Struthio camelus: one gene and its partner. The protein of the gene in region 2 purifies or fractionates together with the protein of the main gene of each other region. This does not show direct contact. Links are inferred from orthologs where the notes say so. Each region holds a gene or a part of one and is shown on either strand. Other genes may lie near its edges.

Region 1 (5,186 bases), on a different chromosome or scaffold from region 2:
CCTAGCGTGTTCTGCTGCGTTTCATTCAAAGGAAAAAATCCACACCCTGGCTGTGCCACTGGCTGTAAAGCAGCTCTACAGCCATCTGTGAAACATGTTCGGGACTAGTCCATTTTAACAGCCATGGCGGGCTTCCTTCCTGGCCTTCTCAGAAGAAGATAGAGCGGTGTCTGTGAGAAGTTTTGCCAGTTGGACCCCGATCCATGACACCCAGTATCTTTATTCACCCAGAGCTGTAAAACACTAATTAGATACTCTGCAGCACCCTTCCTCATGGCAGGGAGGTCACAGTCTTGTAGAGCTGACGGTTTCAATGAATACATCCCGCTGGCTCAGTTTTTAAGATAACTAAATCAAAAGATCCCCAAAACCTCTTTCCGCAGAGGCAGCGTTTTACCCCCTCAGCGTAACAGGGCACCTGCTCAGTCCCCGGTTCTCGCACACGCGAAGCAAACGTTGGTCTCGGCGCCTCCAACCCCCGCTCTCCACCGCCAGCGAAAGCAGCTCGCACGCTTAAAAAAAAAAAAAAACATATTTATTTAAAACAAAATAGTTAGCCAGGGGCCATTCACAGGCTGGTTAAGGAGGAAAATTAAAAAAAAAAAATCAAGAAAATCCCCAAAATAACAAGAAAAACCGGTCCAGGGCTCCGCCGGCCCTAGAACTCGAAGGTGCCGAAGTGGGCGGCGCGGCCGCCGGCCTTGGGCTGCGGCTTGTAGCCGATGCGCTCGCCGATGATCTGCTCCCGGCTCTTGTGCTCGGCGCCCAGCGCCAGGGCGGCCTCCTCGCCGGCCGCCGCCACCTCCGCCTCCTCCCGCTGCTTCTTGCGGCTCTGCAGGGCAAACGGCGCCGCCTCAGAGCCCGGCCGCTCCCGGCAGGCGGCGGGGGACGCGCCGGGCCCCGGTACCGGCGCCGCGCGCTGCGGGGCGGCCCCGGGCCCGCCTCAGGCCGCGCCCCCCCGCCCGCCGCCGCGCCCGGCCCCGCTCGCACCTCCAGGTCCTTCCGGATGCTCTCGAACTCCTCGATATCGTCCAGCTTCAGCTCCAGCCGCGTCGGCTTCCGCCGCAGCATCGCTCGCCGCCGCCGCCGCCGCCAGCGCCGCCTCAGCCGCCGCCGCCCGGCTTCAGCCGCCGCCACCGGCAAGGAGCGAGAACGCACCCCGCCGCGCCGTTTGCCACACCTCCCGACCTGCCCCGCGCTCCCCGCCCGTCGGGGGCCACACCTCCCGGCATGCCCCGCGCTCCCCGCCCGTCGGGGGCCACACCTCCCGGCGTGCCTTGCGCTCCTCGCCCACTGGAGGCCACATCTCCCGGCATGCCTTGCGCTCCTCGCCCACTGGTGGTCATACCTCCCGGCACGCCCCGCGCTCCCCGCCAGCTGGGAGTGGGGCGTACCTCCCGGCATGCATCGCGCTCGCCGTTCACTCCGCCGCGTACTCAGGCTCCCACCTCCCGACACGCGCCGCGCGGCGCCCCGGAAGTGACTGTGGGGTGCCGGGGCGGCAGGGCGCGGAGCGGCGGGTGTCCCGGTGCCGGCCGCTATGGCTTCTTCGCGGGCTCCGGTGGCGCGCGGCGGCGCGCGGCCCCCCGCGCGGGCTCCCGCTCCCCCCGAGGTGCGTGTCCAGCCGGGCCGGGGCCGGGGCCGGGGCCGAGCGGAGGAGCGGGCCTGGCCCGCCGCCTTCCGCCCGCCTGCGCGCCGGAGACCCGAAAGGGGGAGCGGGGGGCAGCGGGGCGGTTTGCGTGGCGGGGGAGGCCCCGGTGTCGGGGACGCAGCGAGCGGCGGCGCGGCGGAGACTCGAGTGCCGTCAGCGACACCTGAGCCCTCGAAAGGGGTCGTGACCAGACTGTTGATGTTTTTTCGCAGATTTTTGAAGAATCCTGTAATTTTCTTGAAAAGTGCTTTCAGGCTTCTGTCCTGCGAGTAAAGGAGGGTTTTTTTTGGTAATGTTACATCTCCCGCTTTTCAGCGGGGGCATTGAGAGGTGGCATTCAACATCTCATGCCTCTTCTAGAAGTTCTTCAGCAAGATTGGGAAGAGCTTCATGTTTTTAAAAAAAAAAAAATAGGAGAGAGAGAGAGAGAGACTTAAAAACTATGCCCAAGCAGACACTAAAAAAATAGAAAAAGATGCAAATCTAATTTAAGCAAGTCTATTGAACATGTCGTTTAACTTTTGATTTTTTGCACTTGAGGGGCATAGCCTTACTGTTCTAAATTAGCATCTCGTGCACAGCTTCAGGGTCTTTTCATGATGTCCTTACTAGCTTTCTCTGGCAGAGCAGTGCTTTCTCGCACAGCCAAGCCATTCACCGAATGTCTTCTATTCAGCTAAAACACACTGAAGAAGTCTTAATGTTCTGCCTCTATTTTCTAGGTCGCAAAGAGCAAGGCCTCAGAGGAGAGCGATGCTCCTCCACCCAAAAGAGCCCACATCTTTTATGGCAGTTTGGAAGAGAAGGAAAGAGAGCGTCTTGCAAAAGGAGAGTCAGGCCTGCTGGGAAAAGAGGGCGTGAAGGCTGCAATTGAGGCTGGCAACATTAACATAAGCAGTGGTGAGAATGTTTAACCCTGTCACCTTTTGATTCTCGCTCTTGATTTTGACATATTCATAAGTCTCTCTGTTTGGGCTTGAGCATAATTTAAAATCAAGAACGAGACACCTTTGTCCAGCTGCCGTTTTCAATTTAACGGCTTCACTTTTGGTTTAGGTGAGGTCTTTGATCTCGAAGACCATATGAGCGAGCGTCAGGCCGAAGTCTTAGCCGAGTTTGAGCGCAGGAAGAGAGCCCGGCAAATCAACGTTTCCACTGACGACTCTGAAGTGAAAGCCTGCTTACGAGCCCTTGGGGAGCCCATCACGCTCTTTGGAGAAGGTCCTGCAGAAAGGAGAGAGAGGTGCTGTGCCCAGTCTTGCGTGTTGCTAACTGTTAACACTCAGCTCTACCCCATTTGTCAAATTCCTGAAATATTTCTTGTAGTTTGGGTGTAATGAACGCTGCTAGTCAGTGATGCTTCTTTATGATGTAGCAAGAATAATGGGGGTGAGGGGGAGAACAGAAGACAATGGTCAGACTATCTGACAGCTCACTGAGTGAATGTGATTTAATGTGTTTCTTTTCAGATTACGAAATATCCTTTCAGTGGTTGGCACAGATGCCTTGAAAAAGAGTAGGAAAGATGATGACAAGTCTAAAAAATCCAAAGAAGAGGTAATATTCTCTCTTTTTCTCTCTCCTTATTTATTTATTTATTTATTTTGGAGGGGTTGCTGCTAGCTCTTAATGTGGCGGGGAATATGTATAAAAAGTTTTTAGATACCTTATTTAGACGGTCTACAATAGATCCAGTGCTTTTGGTTTCAGTCAGACTGACAGTGAGGGTTGCAATGTATTTAAATCAAGAGAATTAAGTCCAGGTTGTACTTCAGACCAAATTACATGTTGCATATGGCGTATAAACCAGGAGACTGAGCATTGGAACTGTTACTTAGTAAATCCTTTATTGCTGATCATCATCTTACTCAGGAGGAAAAAAACTATGTTCCTGCCACTACATCTAGTTCTGTCTTTGATTCTTCTTTCTTTCTGCCTCTCTTTTCTGAGTCTGGTTTTTTCCTTATGATTTTGGAGGGTTGCTATAAGGAGTAAGTACAATTTCTGCAGCTCCAGGCTTTCTTTTTATTCCTCCCTTTTCCACATATCCAGTAAAATCATCAGCAGTAAATGGTCAAGTGAAATATAAGATTGTGTTCAAGCAGAATACACCTGTGGGGCATGGCAGTACACCAGGATCTCATTTGTAGGACAGAGAACTTGACTTGTCTGTGTTAAATCTCTTTTTTGAGGACTTATATTTATGCAGAATACCCCATTCAGCCCCTTAAGACAAAGGCCTTAAGACAGCAAGCTTTAAGAGAAGGTGCTGCGGTGGCAGTTATGTACGAAGAGGAGTTATCTAAGATGACTGAATGGAAGAACTCTTATCACATTAGCTTTTTCTTTAGTTTTGTTCTTTTTCTCTAAGTATCAGCAAACCTGGTACCACGAAGGACCACGCAGTCTGAAGACAGCTAGGCTGTGGCTTGCTAACTACTCGCTCCCCAGGTAAGGAAAAACAAAATACATGAAAAAGAGAGAGATGCAGGCTTCTGTCAAATCTAACCATTAATCCCACTATGGGTAATGCCAGAAACTTGAGATCAAGAGAACAGGGAACCCCTGCTGGTAGACAAACCCAGTGAGGTTAGAGTTTAAGTTCTTAGTAACTGCACTGGCATTAGCCCAATTTTAAGAAAGGCAGAGGAGAGGCCTGTTTCCAGCAGCAGGCCGGGGGAAACGTAGGGACTTGTTGCTCTAATTTTGCTTTGCACAGGGCAGTGAAGCGGCTAGAAGAAGCCCGGCTGCTCAAAGAGATTCCAGAGGCAACCAGAACATCACAGAGACAGGAGCTACACAAATCCCTGAGGGTAGGTTTGGCATCTGCTCAGCTTTGTTTCTTGACAAAAGAGATCAGAAAGAGGTCAGGTGCTAGCTTAGATCAGTCAGAGTGGCTCCGTCCCCCTCCTGCATGGAGTTGGAGTGGCTCTGGGGCAGCTCTTCCCTTTGTGTAAGTAACTTTCCAAAGACCTCTGTCTCCTCCTTCGTACACTTACCTATTTCATCTCACTTCTTGGCCAAGGCTTTTTCTACCTCGGTAGTACTTATTTGCCATTGTCTTTGTATTTGTTTTCAGTCCTTGAATAACTTCTGCAGTCAGATTGGAGATGATCGGCCGCTGTCCTACTGCCATTTCAGCCCCAATTCCAAATTCCTAGCTACTGCCTGTTGGTAAGTGTTCTTTTTAAAGCCCTCGCTTTAGAAAAGGGGGGTGGAACGTGACAGGAATGAAGAAGAGGGATGTTACTGGAGGTCTGTGAAACCTGAGAGTTCAGAAGTGCTCTTTGTTCCTACTCTGAACTCTGTCTTCACCCTGTTTTAAAGATTTGCAGGGATTCGAATCTGAGTCCGCTTGTCCCTGTGGCTGGTAGCTCCAAGTGTGCTGGTATTATAGCCGCTGCAGAAATCCCCAGTGTGGTTCTGCAGCTCTGTGTGTGATCTGTTCTTTGAGGTTCCTGTTCCTGTCTGCACTAACTCGAATTTCTTGTGTTCAACAGGAGTGGGCTGTGCAAGCTCTGGTCTGTGCCTGACT
Region 2 (8,094 bases):
CTGCGACACCCGAACGCCGCCCACAGCGTACACCTGCCGCTGACCACAGTGAGAAGTCCTTCTCCGGGGCACCTTTCCCTAATTCACGGCTGTCGGGGCGGGGAGGGGGCCCCGTGCTTCAGCAACACCTTTTTGAGCTGCCGACACACGTAACGGGAGAGCTGCGAACCACGAAGGGCAGCGGCGTAATTGCGCCCAGAGGGCTGGGCCACGGGACGAGCGGCTCGCTGGGCCCTGCCCGGGCGCCGGGGCGAGGGGGGGCCGGCGGCGCAGCCGCGGCGCCAGGGCAGAAGCACGTGGAAAGCGCTCGGAGGAGCCGACCGCGGACCCGATCCTGCCCCGGCGCTGCAGGGCTGGGGATCCCGCCGGGCGCCCGGGACCCCAGCGCGGTCCTGGGACAGAGGCAGCGACCGGGGCGTTGGTGAGAGCCCGCAGCGGGGCAGGGCCCCAACCGCGGGAGACCCCGGGGGGGCCGGGCCCGGAGCCACGTCGCCGGCCCGCGGTGGGACCCCTGCGCCCCCATCAGCCAGCCCCGCGCCGCAGGTCTCTGCCCTGCGCTCTGCTCACCCAGCCCCAGCAGCCCCGTCCACGGGGACCTCCTGTCGCCCCCATCCTTGGGACCCCTGTCCACGGGACCCCCATCCCCAGGAGCCCCCGCCAGCCCCGTCCACAGGACCCCCATCCCCAGGGACCCCATCCCGGGAAGCCCCTGTTGGCCCTGTCCCCAGGACCCCCACACCCAGAGTCACTTTGTCCTCAGGGATCCCCCACCGGCCCCATCCCCAGGACCCCCTGTCAGCCCCATCCCCACAACCCAACTATCACCCCCGTCTCCATGACCCCCTGCCAGCCCCGTCCCCACAACTCTCATTTCCACAATCCCCTGCCACCCTGGTCCCCACGACCCCCGTCCCCACGACCCCCTGCCAGGCCCGTCTCCACAACCCTCGTTCCCATGACGCCCCATCAGCCCCGTCCCCATGACCCCTGTCCCCAGCACCCTGTCAGCCCCGTCCCCACAACCCAACTATCAGCTCCATCCCCATGACCCCCGTCCCCACGACCTCCTACCACCGCCGTCCCTCTGACCCCATCAGCGCTCTCCCCACGACTGCCATCCCCACAACTCCCATCCCCACAACTCCCTGCCGACCCGGTCCCCATGACCCCCGTCCCCACAAGCCCCACTGTCAGCCCTGTCACCGTGACCCCCAACCCCACGACCCCCGTTCCCACAACCCCCCTGTCAGCCCCATCCCCACGACCGCCATGCCCATGACCCCCATCCCCAGGAACCCTGTCAGTCCCACCCCCACAACCCCTGTCCCCAAGACCTCCTACCACTCCCGCCCCCACGACCCCGTGTTACCCCCGACCCCCACCAGCCCCGTCCCCACGACCCCCTGCCAATGCTGTCCCCACAACTCCCATCCCCACAACGCCCTGCCAGCCCCATCCCCACAACCCTCGGTCCCACAACCCCCGTCAGCCCTGTCCCCACGACCCTCATCCCCATCACTCCCTGCCACCCCCGTCCCCATGACCCTCCTGTCTGCCCCGTCCCCACGACTCCCGTCCCCACCACCCCCTGCCACTCCTGTTCTCATGACCCCCCCGTCAGCCCTGTCCCCATGACCCTCGTCCCCACCGCTCCCTGCCACCCCCATCCCTCTGTCACCCCTGTCCCCATGACCCCTGTGCCCATGACCCCGCCACCCCTGTGCCCACCACCCCCCTCACCCCTGTCCCCATGGCCCCCAGCCACCCCCATCCCCCTGACCTCCCTGTCCCCCTGACCCCTGTGTCCACGACCACCTGCCACCCCTGTCCCCGCGACCCCCATCCCCAGGACCCCCGTCACTCCTGTCCCCACGGCCCCCAGCCACCCCCATCCCTCTGTCACCCCTGTCCCCATGACCCCTGTGCCCACGACCCCGCCACCCCTGTGCCCACCACCCCCTGCCACCCCTGTCCCCACGACCCCTCTCACCCCTGTCCCCATGGCCCCCAGCCACCCCCATCCCCCTGACCCCCCTGTCCCCATGACCCCTGTGTCCACGACCACCTGCCACCCCTGTCCCCACGACCCCCATCCCCAGGACCCCCGTCACTCCTGTCCCCACGGCCCCCAGCCACCCCCATCCCCCTGTCCCCCCTGTCCCCATGACCCTTGTCCCCATGACCCCCCGCCACCCCTGTCCCCACGACTCCCATCCCCAGGACCCCATCACCCCTGTCCCCACGACCCCCATCCCCACGACCCCCATCTCCACGACCCCCGGCACCCCTGTCCCCACGACCCCCATCCCCACGACCCCCATCACCCCTGTCCCCACGACCCCCATCCCCACGACCCCCATCTCCACGACCCCCGGCACCCCTGTCCCCACGACCCCCATCCCCACGACCCCCATCACCCCTGTCCCCACGACCCCCATCCCCACGACCCCCATTCCCAGGACCCCCCGTCCCCCTGCCACCCCTGTGCCCACGACCCCCATCCCCAGGACCCTCCACCCCCCGCCACCCCTGTCCCCACAACCCCTGTCCCCACGACCCCCATTCCCAGGACCCCCCGTCCCCCTGCCACCCCTGTGCCCACGACCCCCTGCCACCCCTGTCCCCACGACCCCCGTCCCCACGACCCCCCACCCCCCGCCACCCCTCTCCCCACGACCCCTGTCCCCACGACCCCTGTCCCCAGGACCCCCGTCCCCAGGACCCCCCACCCCCCGCCACCCCTGTCCCCTCGACCCCCGTCCCCACGACCCCCCACCCCCCGCCACCCCCGTCCCCAGGACCCCCCCGCCACCCCTGTCCCCAGACCCCCCCCGCCGCCGGTCCCCCGCGGACCAGGCCCCGGCACCCCGCCGTGCGGGGCGGAGGCGCGGCGCGGCGCGGCGCACCCAGGCCTGGTGCTGCTGCTCCTGCTGCTGCAGCTCGGTCTCGTCCACGCAGGGCCGGTCCAGGTTGAACCACAGCGCCTCGGTGACGCGCGGCAGCAGCGACGGGAACAGCGTGGACATGCTGCGGCAGCGGCGGCGGCGGCGGAACCCCCGCGCGGCGGGGAGCGGCGCCGACCCGGAGCCGGAGCCCGACGCGCCGGAAGGGGCGGGGCGGCGCTGCGGCGGGCGCGCGCGCACGGCGCATGCGCGGAGGAGCCCGCGGGCCCGCGCCCACGGACGGAACGCCGGCGACGTCACGCCCGCGGGGAGGGGGGGGGTGAGCGAGGGGCGGGGCCTGAGGGGCGAGGGGCGGGGCCAGCGCGTCACCGACTGATGGTGGTTTTGCCACCCGGGGGGGCTGGGTGGGTGCGTGACCCACGGGGGTCGGCCCCGGGTGGGAGTGGGCGTCTGTGGGGGTTTGTGGGTGGGTGGGTGTGTGACCCACGAGTGATCTGCCCCGAGGGGGAGTGGGTGTCTGTGGGGGGTGGTGGGTGCGTGTGTGACCCACTGGGGATCTGCCCCTCGGGTGTTCGTGTGTGTGCGTGGGTGGGTGTGTGATGCATTGCGGATCTGCCCCCGGGTGGGAATGGGTGTCTGTGGGGGCTTGTGGGTGGGTTGGAGTGTGACCCACTGGAGATCTGCCCCCGGGTGGGTGTGGGTGGGCGTGGGGTTTGGTGGGTGTGGGTGTGTGGCCCCACGGGGATGTGCGCTGGGGTGGGAGTGGGTGTTTGTGGGTGGCTGGATGACCCACTGGGGATCTGTCCCTGGGTAGGGCAGGTGTCTGTGGGGGTTTGTGGGTGGGTGTGTGACCCAAGGGGATCTATCTCTTGTGGGTTTGTTTTTGTGCGTGGGTGTGTGCTTGTGCGTGGGTGGCCTATTGGGGATCTGCACCTGAGTGGGAGTGGGTTTCTGTGGGGTTATGTGGGTGGGTGGGTGACCCATGGGGATCAACCCCACGGGTGTGTAGGGGAAGTGTTTGTGGGTGTAGGGGAAGTGTTTGTGGGTGGGTGACCCATGGAGGATCTGGCCCACGGGTGTGCACGTGGGGAGGTGTTTGTGGGTGTATGGGTGGGTGACCCACAGCCCCACAGGTGTGGGGTGTTGTAGGTGGGTGGGTGACCCACGTTGTATCTGCCCCTGGGTGGGAGTTGGTGACCCACGAGGATCTGCCCACGTATGAGTGTGGGGGATGTGTGGCTCTGGGTGACCCACTGGGAACCAGCTCCACGGGTGTTTGTGGATTTGGGTGTGGGTGGGTGTGGGTGTGGATGGGTGACCCACAAGGGACCTGCCCCCGGATGGTTGTGGGTGGATGTATGGGTGTGGGTAACCCACGGGGGAGCAGCCCCTCAGGTGTGGGGGTGGGTGGGTGTGACCCACGGACGATCTGCCCCGGGTATGTGCAGGTGTGGGGGTGGGTGACCCACGGGAGACATGCCCCTAGGTGTGTGTTTGGGCATGGGTGTGGGTGACCCACCAGGGATCTGCCCCTGGGTTTGGGTGGGTGTGGGTACGGATGGCTGCATGGCCCATGGAGAAGCTCCCACCGTGTGGGTGTGGCTGTGGATGACCCACGGGAGATCTGCTCCACAGTCCTGTGGGGGGTGTGGCTGTGGTGACCCAGGAGGGATCTACCCCGGGTGTGTGTCTGCAGATGGGGTGGGTGACTCACGGGGGATCTGAACCCTGGGTGTGGATGGGTGCCTGGGTGGGTGACCCACGGGGGATCTGCCTCTGGGTGGGTGTGGGAGCCCCATGGAGGAACTGAACCCTGGGTGTGTGTGTGTCTGTGTGGGTATGGGTGCCCCACGGGGGACCTCCCCCGTGTGTGGGGGGGGGGTGGGTGCGTGGGTGATCCACAGGGTATCTGTCCCCCCATGTGTGTGTCTGTGTGTGCGCGTGGGTGTGCAGGTGGGTGACCCACGAGGATCTGAACCCTGGGGGTGGGTGTTGGTGACCCACGGGGGACCTGGCCCCGGGTGTGGGTGGGTGCCTGGCTGGGTGACCCACGGGGGACCTGGCCGCGGGTGGGTGTGGGTGCCCCGGGGGGGATCGCTCCCCCATGTGTGTGTGGGTGTGTGTCAGTGACCCACGGGGTGCCTTGCCACGGGTGGGTGTGGGTGCCCCAGGGGGGATCGCTCCCCCATGTGTGTGTGGGTGTGTGTCAGTGACCCACGGGGTGCCTTGCCACGGGTGGGTGTGGGTGCCCCACGGGGGATCGTTCCCCCCAGGTGTGCTTGTGGCTGTCGGTGACCCACGGGGTGGGTGGGTGCCTGGCTGGGTGCCCCACGGGGGATTGTTCCCCCATGGGTGTGTGGGTGTGCGTGTGGGTGACCCACGGGGGATATCCCGTGGGACGGGACGGGGCGGGGGGGGGGTGCGCTGAGCCCTGGGCGCCCGCTGACCTTTGAGTCGAGCCGGGGCGGTTGTGCGCGCACCACCGCCGCCACCCCGGGCACCGGTCCACGGGCCGGCTGTGCGCGCCTCGGCCCCGTCCGGCTGTGCGCGCTCCCTCCGGCTGTTGTGGGCAGCGGGGGCCGGCGCTGCTGCGCAGGGAGATGGCTGCTGCGCGGGACCTGCTGCTGCTGCTGCTGCTGCTGCCGCTGCTGCCGCTGCTGCTGCTGCTGCTGCTGCCGGTGCCGGTGGTGGCGGCGGTGGCGGTGCCGGCGGCCGGCCGCGCGCTGCCGCTCAACGTGTGCATGGACGCCAAGCACCACAAGACGGAGCCCGGCCCCGAGGGGCAGCTCTACGGGCAGGTGGGGGGCGAGGGGCGCCCGGGGGTCACCGCCGCGGTGGTGAGACCCCCGCACCCACCGCCTGTCCCCCCCCACCCCGCTCCGGCAGTGCGCGCCCTGGCGGGACAACGCCTGCTGCACGGCCAACACCAGCGCGGCCGCCCACCAGGACCGCTCGCCCCTCTACAACTTCAACTGGGACCACTGCGGCGCCATGCCGGCCCGCTGCAAGCGCCACTTCGTGCAGGACGCCTGTCTCTACGAGTGTTCGCCCAACCTGGGGCCCTGGATCGACCAGGTAGGGTGGGCGCCCCCCCCCCCGCCCCCCGCCGGTGGGCACGGTGCCGCTGCTGGCACCGGTGGCCCGCGGCGCCTGGCACGGGGGTGAGGTGCCCACGTGGTGCGGGGCTGACGCGCCCGGCGCTGCAGCGCGGCGAGGGGGCAGGGGGGTGGGGGGAGGTGGCCCTGGGCGCCCCGGGGTGGCTCCTGTGGGCACAGCATGCTGGGAGCCACCGCAGCACCCACCCCACACCCCCCCGGCGCGGGTGGCCCACGGGACCTGGCACGGGGCCGTGCACTGCGCAGGGGTGACATGTTGCAAGAGTGCAGGGGGTGGAGGTGGCGCTGGGCACCCCGGGGTGGCAGGGTGCACCGGGTGCCACCGCAGCACCCACCCCACACCCCCCCGGCATGGGTGGCCCACGGGACCTGGCACGGGGCCATGCACGGTGCAGGGGTGGCACGTTGCAAGGGTGCAGGGGGGGGTGGCAGTGGGCACCCCGGGGTGGCAGGGTGCACCGGGAGCCACCGCAGCACCCACCCCACACCCCCCAGCCCGGGTGGCCCACGGGACCTGGCACGGGGCCGTGCACGGCGCAGGGGTGGCACGTTGCAAGGGTGCGGGGGGGGTGGCAGTGGGCACCCCGGGGTGGCAGGGTGCACCGGGAGCCACCGCAGCACCCACCCCACACCCCCCAGCCCGGGTGGCCCACGGGACCTGGCACGGGGCCGTGCACGGCGCAGGGGTGGCACGTTGCAAGGGTGCAGGGGGGGGTGGCAGTGGGCACCCCGGGGTGGCAGGGTGCACCGGGTGCCACCGCAGCACCCACCCCACACCCCCCAGCCCGGGTGGCCCACGGGACCTGGCACGGGGCCGTGCACGACGCAGGGGTGACATGTTGCAAGAGTGCAGGGGGTGGAGGTGGCGCTGGGCACCCCGGGGTGGCAGGGTGCACCGGGAGCCACCGCAGCACCCACCCCACACCCCCCCGGCATGGGTGGCCCATGGGACCTGGCATGGGGCCATGCACGGCGCAGGGGTGGCACATTGCAAGGGTGCGGGGGGGGTGGCAGTGGGCACCCCGGGGTGGCAGGGTGCACCGGGAGCCACCGCAGCACCCACCCCACACCCCCCCGGCACGGGTGGCCCACGGGACCTGGCACGGGGCCGTGCACTGCGCAGGGGTGACATGTTGCAAGAGTGCAGGGGGTGGAGGTGGCGCTGGGCACCCCGGGGTGGCAGGGTGCACCGGGAGCCACCGCAGCACCCACCCCACACCCCCCAGCCCGGGTGGCCCACGGGACCTGGCACGGGGCTGTGCACGGTGCAGGGGTGGCACGTTGCAAGGGTGCGGGGGGGGTGGCACTGAGCACCCAGGGGTGGCTCCTGTGGGCACAACATGCTGGGAGCCACCGCAGCACCCACCCCACAACCCCCCAGCCCGGGTGGCCCACGGGACCTGGCACGGGGCCGTGCACGGCGCAGGGGTGGCACGTTGCAAGGGTGCAGGGGGGGGTGGCAGTGGGCACCCCGGGGTGGCAGGGTGCACCGGGAGCCACCGCAGCACCCACCCCACACCCCCCGGCACGGGTGGCCCATGGGACCTGGCACGGGGCCGTGCACTGCGCAGGGGTGACATGTTGCAAGAGTGCAGGGGGGGGGCGGCGCTGGGCACCCCGGGGTGGCAGGGTGCACCGGGAGCCACCGCAGCACCCACCCCACACCCCCCAGCCCGGGTGGCCCACGGGATCTGGCACGGGGCCGTGCACGGCGCAGGGGTGGCACGTTGCAAGGGTGCAGGGGGGGGTGGCAGTGGGCACCCCGGGGTGGCAGGGTGCACCGGGAGCCACCGCAGCACCCACCCCACACCCCCCAGCCCGGGTGGCCCACGGGACCTGGCACGGGGCCGTGCACGGCGCAGGGGTGGCACGTTGCAAGAGTGCAGGGGGGGGGCGGCGGCGCTGGGCACCCCGGGGCGCCGCTGCGGGCACGGTGCACCGCAGGCGGACACCAGCTGGCGCAAGGAGCGGGTGCGGGGCGTGCCGCTGTGCCGGGAGGACTGCGAGCAGTGGTGGGAGGACTGCCGCGACGCCGCCACCTGCAAGGAGGACTGGCACAAGGGCTGGAACTGGAG

What was found. Proteins that work in one complex are often made in the same cells at the same time.
Region 1: the proteins of ANAPC15 (region 2) and CDC26 purify together in Homo sapiens (affinity purification with mass spectrometry; 3 studies listed by BioGRID and IntAct, with this or other methods). This does not show direct contact. The link is inferred for Struthio camelus from reciprocal best matches to the Homo sapiens genes ANAPC15 and CDC26.

Annotation. Positions count from the first base shown.
Region 1 is NC_090961.1:12,162,163-12,167,348, forward strand, and holds CDC26 (anaphase-promoting complex subunit CDC26), read right to left. Parts: upstream 1,202-5,186; 5' UTR 1,107-1,201; exon of another isoform or gene 1,077-1,106; 5' UTR 1,072-1,076; coding exon 991-1,071; intron 833-990; coding exon 659-832; 3' UTR 519-658; downstream 1-518. Other genes in the region: PRPF4 (U4/U6 small nuclear ribonucleoprotein Prp4), read left to right, coding at 1,541-1,612, 2,374-2,551, 2,708-2,894, 3,121-3,208, 4,023-4,102, 4,371-4,464, 4,731-4,825, 5,152-5,186. UniProt on the Homo sapiens protein: Component of the anaphase promoting complex/cyclosome (APC/C), a cell cycle-regulated E3 ubiquitin ligase that controls progression through mitosis and the G1 phase of the cell cycle.
Region 2 is NC_090942.1:224,054,299-224,062,392, reverse strand, and holds the start of ANAPC15 (anaphase-promoting complex subunit 15), read right to left. Parts: upstream 3,101-8,094; 5' UTR 3,027-3,100; coding exon 2,907-3,026; intron 1-2,906. Other genes in the region: folate receptor gamma-like, read left to right, coding at 5,504-5,701, 5,790-5,978, 7,964-8,094. UniProt on the Homo sapiens protein: Component of the anaphase promoting complex/cyclosome (APC/C), a cell cycle-regulated E3 ubiquitin ligase that controls progression through mitosis and the G1 phase of the cell cycle.